3 linked regions of the Nothobranchius furzeri genome follow. The protein of the gene in region 1 purifies or fractionates together with the protein of each later gene. This does not show direct contact. Links are inferred from orthologs where the notes say so. Each region holds a gene or a part of one and is shown in the gene's direction. Other genes may lie near its edges. The genes, in order: sf3b6, snrpa1 and phf5a.

Region 1 (3,752 bases):
GTTGAGCTTATGTCTCCAGGTTTTGGTGCTCTCAGTGAGCTTTTGTTTTTGTTACCAGGGTTTTTGGATTTTTGGACTTTTGGCTCACTGCCTTTGGATTTATTTTTGTTCGTTCTACAAAATAAAGCATATTTACTTTACATCATCTCCAGCCTCGTGTCATCCTGGGTTTCTGCATATTTGTGTCCTAAACATCCTCAAAACGTGACATTAGAAAGGACTTGGTCCTGATGTTGCTGCTATGCAGGCGGTTTCTGATGGTAGAAAGGACTGTTTTCCTACTGAATGTAGTGTGCACATTTACCAAGGTGTCCTTTTTTAGGTGTTTCACGTGGTCTTGCTGGGGGGGTTAGAGTCTTTAGGGGACAGAGTTGAGTCAGAGCAGTGTTAAAGATGCATTGTTCATGTGATTTACACCTGGTCACGGCCTCGGTGAAGACCAGATGTGATGTTCATCTCCCAAGCTTCACCTTAGTGCCTGTTTGAGTGAAGCCCAGCATAAGCCAGTGCTGCAACATCCGTTACCATGGCAATAACCTTTTTCTTTTCCCTTTTTCTAATTCAGTTGTTTCGTTTGTGCATAAAAAAGGCTTTTAAAAAGTCTGCTGAGGTTTCAGAGGAAAATTAGTTGCAGTATCAGTGTTTTGTTTTTTATAAATATTAAAATTAAAGGTGCTGAAAAAACCTGATTGATGCTCAAATTACTCGAATAGGGAATAGTCTCCAGGTGTGCTACCGCATCCAATTTAAATTTTTACTTCTTGTTTTTAAGTAACTCTATCTTTATGCTCCTCTCTACTTGACTCAGCTGGTTCAGCCCTACGTACCTGGTCGAATTCTTTGGTCAGCAGACCTGTTACAGGTCCCAAGAGTTCGGGTGAGGACGCAAGGAGAACGAGCCTTCTCAGTCTGTGCGCCTCGTCTCTAGCAGTGACGGCTCATTTTTATTCCTTAGCTTTTACTTCAGCCTAGCTAGCATTTTACGATGTTTTTGTTTTGTCTTTATTGATTTTATAGTAGTTACTGTACTACTTTTATTACTTCTTCCAGTGTGTTGATTTTTATGCTCATTTACTGTGCAGCACTTTGGTTGGCCTCGGCCCTGTAAAAATGTGCTTTAAAAATAAAATGGAATGGAAATAGTGCTCCCTTCAATTCTGGAACCAACTGGTATGAAGAGCGAGAAGAACATTTTAGCCTAAATATTTTTTCATGTTTTAAAAAAAGTGCACTAACACTTGTTTGCTATACAGTTTTAAATGTTATTTTATTCGTATTCATTATATTGAAAGAAACTCTGGGATTTTTTTACTGAGTTGAGCTTAAGTATAGGTTCTGTTCAGTTCTTATGCATCTTCAGTTATCAGCCTCAGCAGCCAGTATTCAAATAGCATTTCTGTAAGAATGTCATTTTTCTATAGTTAGGATAATTGTTCCAGGCTGGTTGAGGTTCTTGTCCGCCGCTAGAGGGCAGCACCGTTATAAGGATGTATCTGTAGCCTAATTCCAAACCGGAAGTTCGATATATTTTTACCGTAGCCTCCATTTTGAAGTGAAAACAGCGTGTTTGTTGTTTATCTGCGTTATTTACACGAATTAAATCGTTACGATGGCTATGCAAGCAGCAAAACGTGCTAATGTAAGTGTAATGGAGCATATAAGGGGACAAAGGAAAGGCTAATGTGAAATGTAAGCTAGGTTTAGCTCTGAGGAAGCGTCTCAAAGAATTAGCGCACTACTAGCAGGTTAGCAAATTGAAAACAGTCCTCAAAACCTGAAATCTTCAAGCTTTATATTCACTTTAGTTATACTTACCATTTGAGGTCATGTGTTTTTTCATCTTTTGTTTTGTGAAGACATAATCCTCGTTGGGATATCGTCAGGCTAAGAATATTTGTTCCTTCCGGTACGGAAACAAGGATAAGCTAATGCATGTAATGATTAAAAGTAGCCATGTCTATTGTTAAGTGACTTACGTAGTCTTAAAAGGCCTCAGCTAGTAATCGTGTGTACTTATGTATCAGGTATTTGAGTTTTTACCCAGGTTAGTTTTGTTCCCTCTGAATAGTTTAATGATGTGTTTTAATGGTGTTGTAGATCCGATTACCTCCTGAGGTGAACAGAATCCTGTATATAAGGAATCTCCCCTATAAGATCACAGCTGAGGAGATGTACGATATCTTTGGAAAATACGGACCAATACGACAGATCCGAACGTAAGTTTTCAAAAAGTGTGTGTGTGTGTGTGTGTGTGTGTGTGTGTGTGTGTGTGTGTGTGTGTGTTATTATGAAGTCATTTTCAGAGTAAAAGAAAATTTTATGTAACAAAGCCAACTCTGCATTTAAAGCAGCCTTCACAGGATAAAAGCCACACATCGCTTCACGGTAAACATAAATAAAACAAATGTAAGTAAAACAGGTTTAAGTGTATTTAGAGAGCTCACGTTGAAGTAACAGTTAAGAGTCGTAGAGAAAGCAGCAAAGACAGAAAGAAAACGATCTTTTACGTAGCGCCTCTCAAAATAAAAATCACAAGGCGCTTCACAAACAAAACAACTAGAAAGATGTCAAAAAACGATTAAAAATATGTTTAAAATGAAGATAAGTAAATTGTGATTAAAAATAATAATGTAAGGAATGGGAGAGAGAAAATGAATAGGAAAGAGGGAAATGAGTGGATTGCTGGGAAAGGCGGAATACGTAGAAAGAGCCGAATAGGGAGAGGGTGGTGACGAAGGTCACACCAAAGCCAGCTTGAACTGGTGAGTTTTTAGCTGCTTTTCATAGGAGACCACCGAGTCCACTGATCTCAGGCTCAGAGGGAGAGAGCTCCAGAGTCTAGGGGCCACAGCAGCAGATGATCTGTCACCTTTGGTCTTTAGCCTGAAAAGAGATGAACACAGAAAAGGAGCCACCTTCATGGACGTTGTTTCTGCCTGGAGTTGATTGGTTTGTTGACACAAATTACATGACAAATCCCTTAAAGAGCAAATTGCAGGTTAGAGACTCCCATGAACCAATGTTTAGAGAAGCATAACAGAAACTCGGTTTAGAAGTTTTTTACACAGTAGAGACGGAGCTGCGCATCTGACCCCGGAAGTTGTTGCCCGTTGCCAGGAGACGAAGGCGGGCAAAACAGGAAAGGAATCTAGTAGCGGACGGACATTGTTCTGGGTCTTCGGTATTTGGTGGAGATGTTAGTGAAGGCGGAGAAGAGGGTGGACTAGAGGAAAAACAGGCAGGTTCCACCTCTATTTACAAACTCCTGGGGATGCAACAAGTGGGCGTGGTGCGTCGACCACCGGATCTGACGTCGACGAATTTTTAGAATCGAGCCGTCGACGTCATCGATGCATCGCTACAGCTCTACTGCGCATACCTGTAGTTATCGTCCATTTATCGTTATCGAGGTGAAATCCTCAATATATCGTGATATTGATTTTGAGCCATATCGCCCATCTCTAACCTAAAGGAAGACCCAGGATGCGCTGGAGGGACTACGTCTCTCAGCTGACCAGGGAACACCTTGGGATTCCCCTGCAGGAGCTGTGGAGGGAAGTCTGTGCCTCCCTGCTTAGGCTGCTGCCCCGTGACCCGACCCTGGATAAGCGGCCAGAAATGGATGGATGGATCAGCTAAGATAGTTTGATGGAAAAACAAAATTTGTTATTTTTGTTAACAACAAAAACTAGAGAGCGATCAGTTCACCTTTAATAAACATGGCTGCTGCTGCTTCAAGAGGGTCGGCTCCT
Region 2 (3,752 bases), on another chromosome or scaffold:
AGGGACCCTAAACATTAACACATATAGGAAACCAACACACACAGACCAATATCTATTATGGACATCAGAACACCCCACCATATACAAAATGTCAGTAATCAGAACATTATATCACCGAGCAAACATAATAACAGAAGAAAGAGACCGTAAACAAGAGGACAAACACATACAACATGCTTTAAAGACCTGCGGATACCCGACATGGGTAATAAACAAAGGAAAACAACAAACAACAACAGAAAGAAAAAAACAACCAAAGCAAAGAACCAGCAACCCAGAAAGCCAAGAACCAAAACCAGTGATAACCCTACCATACATTAAAGGCATAACAGAAAAAATAAGAGCAACAATGAAAAAACACAACATAAACACACCAACAAAACCATACACAACAGTTAGAAACAGACTAGTACACCCAAAAGACAAAATACTAGCTGGACTTAAATGTGGAGTCATTTACAAAATCCCATGCAAACTCTGCAATAAAACATACATAGGAGAAACCGGACGCCAACTCAACACACGAACAATAGAACATAGAAAGGAGTGCGAGAAAGAGGCAAGTCGAAAACACACAAGAGCAGCAAAAGAAGAAGCAGAAATCACAATAAAGAAGTCAGCCGTAACAGATCACTGCACAAGAGAAAACCATATAATGGACTGGGACAACACAAGGATCATAAACACCGAACAACAAAAATACAAAAGATGAATAAAAGAAGCTACCGAGATAAGGTGACGTGGATGTGGGACCATGAACAGGGACGATGGAGTTTACACGTTGGACCGCGCATGGGACTGCATCGTCGGAGAGGGGAGAGCGGGCAGCAGAGGGCGACAACATCCTCTGCTGCTCACGGATAAACAGAGAAGGAAGTGACGCCACCATCAGCGTCAGCCTGAGGAAGTTTGCAGCTGCAAACGAAATGTAGCGGGAAAACAGGTAAACAAAACTGTTTAAAAAAGAACTACAGCATGGAATTACAGGTTGCTGCTTTATTCATTTGCTGCTAGGCTATTCACACATATTTAAACAACTTAGCCCTGTTACCTTTTCCTTTAAATAAATGCAGCAAAAGCTTAGATTTTTTTCAGCATTTTCTCAGTCTGCCAACTTGGAGAAGTTTTACCAAACTGTGAAACTCCAGTAGGGAGACGAGCTGCAGCTCCTTAACAGGGACTTTTTATTGGGAAATATACTAAATTTAACATCTTATTGGCACAAATCTAATCCCATATACTCAACACCTACCTATGCACTGATGAGTGATCCAGCTCCACTCCAGGTGGGGCGCTGTAGCACCACTATTTACCACTGACTCGTCCTCGGACAAACCGGAAGTAGAAGAAGCTCTTGTTCTGGCGGCAGCGTGGAATACGTTAGCGTTTACCTCTCTGTGAAACTGTTTAGTTTGCTGTAGAAAGGTTACAAAAGCCCAAGTTCGTGTCCGACATGGTGAAGCTGTCTGCGGAGCTGATTGAGCAGGCTGCTCAGTACACCAACCCTGTGAGAGACAGAGAGCTGGATTTACGAGGTAAACTCGGGCCTTTACCCACGGCTAACTGACTAGGTTAGTGTTGTGTGTGTGTGTGTGTGTGTTTGTGTGCTAACCAGTGTTAGCTCTGCTTTATCTTTAGGTTATAAGATCCCAGTGGTGGAAAACCTCGGAGCTACTCTGGACCAGTTTGACACTGTAGATTTCTCTGATAATGAAGTGAGAAAACTGGACGGCTTCCCTTTGCTAAAGAGGCTGAAGACGCTGCTGATGAACAACAACAGGGTCTGGTAAGTCCCACTGCTCTGTGTGTCACCATGGTCCAGGTCTGCCCCTGAGCTGCACAGGTAGGGTCTGGATGATGGAGACGAGTAGGATCTGGGAACACTTCATGTTGATCCATATCAGTAATTATCGGAAATGTAGAAAATGTATTTTAAGTAACGTACTGGCCATCTTGTGCTACTCCTTAGTTAACTACCTTCAGTAAAGAACACACACTGTTTATTTAAACAGATGTTTTACTAGGATGCAGGTTTTCCAAGATTTGTTTAACCGGGTGTTGATGCCCCTCAACACAATCATTTGCCCCTGCTTCATAAATAACACTTTATATATAAGTCTGAGGCACAACTAGAGTCCCACACCCGTTACATTTGTGATCTAGTAAAGAGACAGTGGGATGACAGCTGAAATGTCCGTCAGACCTCTGGCATCCATTACTCAGAAGAGCATTCTGGAGGCCACGTTTTTAAAAACCACTTTAGCTTCCTTATATTGAACTAAATAATTTGACATTTATGTTGCTAGACTAATTAGGAGTCAGACGCAAGCAGCAGCGTCACGGCCGCCTGACCTTTTGCTGGTCACTCTTCAATGTGCTGTAGATTAAAACATTGGCGTAATCTGCGTTTAGTTGAGACGACGTCGGTGTGATGCAGCTGCTGTCAGGAAGACGTGTAGAACGGTACGACTCTGCATCAGTGGGGTCTGTAGTCACCCGCTCCAACATTTGCATACTTTTTGCTGCTAAAGTAATCTTTTGGAATAAATATTTAAAATGAAATATCAGTTTGAGTTTCTGCAAAATGAAAATAATTTTTTACCACGAGGTTTAGACGGTCCCTCTGCTCAGTGAAAAGCCAGCCCTGACAAAATGATTAAGTTATCAGGGATCGTCATATGAGAGTAATTCACAGAAAACCAAACATGAAAGTATGTGAAAATACTCCAGAATAGTGCAGTCATCCTTAACAAGTTATCGATGTGGTCTGATTAAATGTGTAGAAAGAGCTGCGGCGTCATCTCGGCTGGTTGCTTGAAGACTTTAATAAACCACTGCTAAAGGTAAAAACGCTGCTCTGACTCTTCAGTGCAGCAGAAGTGTTGGTTTTATGAAATTACCTCATCACCTGTTTCTGCTCCAGCGTCCTTAAATCTTCTGGTGCCCCGATCCATTTACTGGGTTTGTTTTAAACACAAGGCTAGTAGCATACAGGAGCCGATTCTGACCAGAAAAAAGTATTAGGGAATAGAAGAGACTTTATTGTTATTGTACAGCGACATTGGAGTGCCACTCCCTTTGGTGCAATTTGTAAAATAATACGGAATAAAATAAACGTAAAATCAACAGTAATATTTACAAATGTATAGAAAGAGTAGCAGCATCAGTCAGGTTCTGTGCAGGTTAAGCAGAATTTTAGCATATTGAGTAAACACTAATAGTAAGAGTAAACGTGTGGCTCGGGTTTACAGGCTCATCTGGTTTTGTGGTCGTTTGCTACTCTGGTAGCTCTGGGAAAGAAGCTATCCCTGGTTTTATGTGACCTGCACCATCAGCCTGACGGTAACGGGTCAAACAGATGGTTACTGGGGTGAGAGTAGTCCTCGATGTTCCTGCTCTACTGGGGTAATGAGAGTTGGCAATGTGCTTCAGGCTGGGCAGAGAGCATCCAGTGGTCTTCTGGGCTGTGCTGATGACCCTCTGCAGTACTTTCCTGTCTGCAGCTGAGCACCCTGCATACCATGTTGTGATGCCGTACGCTTGGATGCCCTTTGTGGTGGCTCTGTAGAATGTGACCAGCAGCCTCTCCTCCAGGTCGTTCCTTCTGAGCACTCTCATGAAGTTTTTACCACCGCTGTGGTGTTTGCAGTCCAGGAGAGATCATCAGAGATCTGCACGCCCAGAAAGCTCACGGAGTGCACCCTCTCCACACAGTCCCCGTGAATGTAAAGTAAGGCCGGGTCGGCCCTGCC
Region 3 (3,752 bases), on another chromosome or scaffold:
AGAGTAAGTGAAGGCTCTTCAAATTTGGTTTAAAGGTCATTTTTGATCATTGTTGTGTGACTGGGTTGTGTCTCTGTAGTCGTTAGAGTGCAGGTGAAGGTGGAGGAGATGGAGACCCTTATCAACCCCCCAGACCAGCCTCAAAAAGTCTCGCAGTGTGAAGTGAAACAAGAGAAGGCCGAGCAGATGATCCAGTCGGGACATCAGGTGCCAGAGCAGAGCCCACTGGCAGACATGATCCATCAGACCGCAGAGAAAAGAGAAACAGCAGAAAATGGAGGCGAGCATAAAGGACAAGCTGAGCGGAGTTAAAAAAAGACAAACCCCAGAAAAAAGGAGGCCAGAAAATGGGAGGAGCATGGAAGAGATGTGGGAAAACAACACAACAAGACACTGCAGGAGGAGCTGAACCGATGGAGATATAAGCGGCTGCTGTAGATGACGTTCTGAGATGGTAACAGATGTGAATCAAAAGACGGCTGGAGCTATGTCTCATGAATCTCTGCTGTTTATAAACTCTCAGACCCTCCGACCCAAAAAGAGAGTTCAGAACTGTCTCGCCTCCCCCAAGGTCACCCTAGCTACACCCAGTTCCTCAAAAGCTTTTGTTAGTGATCAAGTCATTGTTTTTGTTTCGTTATCAGATTTGTTTTTGTGAGCAAATATCCAGTCGGGAGTAAGAGTCAGACCAGTAGGTGAACAGATGAAAACCGGCTGATCCTGGCTGCATAGACCAGGAGCCGGTATGGCAATGTGGACCTGTTTCACTAGTTAGACTAATTCACTGGCTGGTCATATTAGCCAAGTTAACTGTTTTAATGTTTGTTGGTATAATTCTGTTAAAGAAGAACTCACAGTGGTCATTGTAATGATTTGAAACTGACAAAAGTAATAAATATATACTGAAAATCCATCTTGGCTTTTGATTAGTGGTTAAACAACAACTGAAAAGAAAATAATAAAATGGACCTGGATAAAAATGTTCCCTATTCTTCATTATTTGTTGTTGAACCTTTTGAGACAGTGTCAGCAACCCAGGGATTTTTGTAATTTTATTAACTTTGCTGCTGTTCTATGGTAACTCAGAGACATTGCAGCTCGTATCAGGATGAGGCATCACCTCTGGAGCAGAGGGATAAAGAATTTTAGTGAACATAAAACTTGGAAATTTGTTTAAATTCTGGGCTAATGACAGCATTTTCACCCAATGTCCTTGTTTATTTGAAACCCGTTTTTTAAGAGTGTAGTTACAAGGTGAAGGCACTAGGTGGTGGTAGCGACTCAACTCGACACTTGCACGCCGGTCAAAGGTTAAAACTGAATTACGTTCGGCCGTCGTTGGTTAGCTGAAAATGGCTAAACATCACCCAGATTTGATCTTCTGTCGAAAACAAGCGGGTGTCGGTATGTTTCTTTACTTTATGTCGTTCGGTACCTTTGAAACTACACAGATATATCAGAAACACGTTTGATTTGCGCCATGTGTTAGCTGCTAAGCTAACTGTTAGCATAAATACTGAAATGAGTAGCGGAGCTGGACGTGTCTTTACGGTTTTCATCTCTGTTGACACTAACAATTTTATGGTTTTTAAACCCGTTTAACTGAGTATTGAACATAGAGAAGTACAAATTTATCGTTTATCCTGAAAATTGAAACGTTTAATTGAACGACTGTTCTGTTTTCCTCCCGCAGCTATCGGGAGACTTTGCGAGAAGTGTAAGTGTCTCCACTTTTAACACGTTTACTGTAAAGTCTATTTCTGTTATAGGTTTTCCTCTAGAACGTTGTGCTTTTGGCTAATTCTAACCCAAAGATCTAGCTGATTTCCTTGGAGTAAAGGCGGCTAAAAAGAACCAACCATCATAAACGCTGTTAAACCTCTAGATTTTATTTATAGGCACTTTAAAAACACCCACCTTATAAAAAACCATGCCAATGTAAAATCCGTAATGAATTTTAAAGTCAATGCAATGTAAATTTAAGCAGCATTTTTAAAATAATCAAACATAAATTTAGATAAGAGAATTTGAAAATGATCTGAGGTGTCAACAAGGAAAAGGAAGACGAGGCCTTAGGGTGGAGGTGGAGATATGCAGGTCATCGTTAGGATTTTGGATATCGAGGACAAAGACTGGGATTGGTCTTGAAAGTGAGGCAGAATCCTGTGATGATGCAAAATTGGGATGGCAGCATATATCATATGCTACACGTGGCAGAGCTTTTGACTGACTGATGTCTTTAAAGATGAGGAGCCAGCTGAGGTGGGTTGGGAATTTGGTATGGATGTCCCCTGGACTCCACCTAGGGGAAGCGTTTCAGGCATGTCCTGCCAGCAGGAGGCTCCAGGTCGACCTGCGACACATTGGAGGTACCTCCACTTTGGGCAAGGCACACCTGGGGATCCTGCTGGAGGAGGTCTTCAGAAAGAGGCAAGGTTGGGTATCTCTGCTGGGGCTGCAACCCCCGTGACCCAGACTCATATGCAGGTAAAATCTGGTGGTCATTTACAGTAATCAGGGTCCAGATGTATGGCTGTAAGTGAAGAAAACATATTTTCTACACAGACCGTGCAAACATGAATCACCTTTAGACAGTACATGCTGGACATGAGGAATAATAACGAGGTCACAACCCAAACCAAGATGTTCACCAGACTGAAACTAGTCTGAGAGAAGTTAAACTCTCAACACTGAACTTCACTAAAACTAGTTTCTCCATCCACTGAGTTCAGCGTGTCCCAGCTGGGACAAAAGAGACAACAGAAGAATGTGTTAACAGAAATTTTCAAACCTGTGGACATCCTGTCTGGACACTTGCCAACTTAACCAGAAAATCTGGAAAAGCACCCGACAGGAAAATTTTAAAGTTATTGCAAATGTTGCAGGATTATCAAAGAAACTCCAAACGTGGCATTCTGGTGCATTGGAGTCCAGATGGGACCCTGAGACAGAAGTTGGTTTAGGTGAAGGACACGAGCTGAGCAGAGTCTGCACCTGTACACACAGATCAAGGCTCAGATTTAAATCTGAGAAAGATGTCACTTCCACATTTTGCTTTGAGAAAAGTCAATGAAGCCATTAGGTCGAATAGGAAAAGTCGCAGTTAAACAGATCTCCGGTTTCACTTATCCAACACCTCCAGTGCAGCTTTGGCTCCTCTCCCACTTCGTTTCACAACCACTCACACTTAAAAACACGTGACTGAAACTCTTCCTAACGTTCCAAACACTCACAGAAGAGACGGCGGGTCAGTCTTGTGATTGTTACAGTTACCTAATAAGATCAGAAGCACTTTCACTTTATTAGTAAATGTAGAAATAATTATTGTTCCCATCACCAGCTTAGTTTCTCTTCCTCTTCCAGGTGATGGGAAGTGTGTGATCTGCGACTCTTACGTGCGACCGTGCACGCTGGTGCGTATTTGTGATGAGTGTAACTACGGCTCCTATCAGGGGCGCTGTGTGATCTGCGGAGGTCCCGGCGTGTCTGACGCTTACTACTGCAAAGAGTGCACCATCCAGGAGAAAGATGTGAGTCCTCCTCTCGTACGCCCAGCTGTGTCTGCAGGAACGTCTCTAAATATTTTGTTCCTCTCTGCAGCGAGATGGCTGTCCCAAGATCGTAAACCTGGGCAGCTCCAAGACAGATCTGTTCTATGAAAGGAAGAAGTACGGCTTCAAGAAGAGGTGAAGACAGGAGAAACACCGAGTTCATAGTCGTTTTTTTTTTTTCCAAAAACTTTTTCTTAATAA

Evidence for each region.
Region 2: the proteins of sf3b6 (region 1) and snrpa1 purify together in Homo sapiens (affinity purification with mass spectrometry; 5 studies listed by BioGRID and IntAct, with this or other methods). This does not show direct contact. The link is inferred for Nothobranchius furzeri from reciprocal best matches to the Homo sapiens genes SF3B6 and SNRPA1.
Region 3: the proteins of sf3b6 (region 1) and phf5a purify together in Homo sapiens (affinity purification with mass spectrometry; 4 studies listed by BioGRID and IntAct, with this or other methods). This does not show direct contact. The link is inferred for Nothobranchius furzeri from reciprocal best matches to the Homo sapiens genes SF3B6 and PHF5A.

Annotation. Positions count from the first base shown.
Region 1 is NC_091742.1:17,815,419-17,819,170, reverse strand, and holds the start of sf3b6 (splicing factor 3B subunit 6), read left to right. Parts: upstream 1-1,490; 5' UTR 1,491-1,609; coding exon 1,610-1,639; intron 1,640-2,097; coding exon 2,098-2,216; intron 2,217-3,752.
Region 2 is NC_091749.1:6,237,653-6,241,404, reverse strand, and holds the start of snrpa1 (U2 small nuclear ribonucleoprotein A'), read left to right. Parts: upstream 1-1,328; 5' UTR 1,329-1,453; coding exon 1,454-1,535; intron 1,536-1,638; coding exon 1,639-1,786; intron 1,787-3,752. UniProt on the Homo sapiens protein: Involved in pre-mRNA splicing as component of the spliceosome. Associated with sn-RNP U2, where it contributes to the binding of stem loop IV of U2 snRNA.
Region 3 is NC_091756.1:28,019,823-28,023,574, forward strand, and holds the start of phf5a (PHD finger-like domain-containing protein 5A), read left to right. Parts: upstream 1-1,250; 5' UTR 1,251-1,352; coding exon 1,353-1,404; intron 1,405-1,693; coding exon 1,694-1,717; intron 1,718-3,363; coding exon 3,364-3,530; intron 3,531-3,600; coding exon 3,601-3,690; 3' UTR 3,691-3,752. Other genes in the region: l3mbtl2 (lethal(3)malignant brain tumor-like protein 2), read left to right, coding at 1-3, 80-312.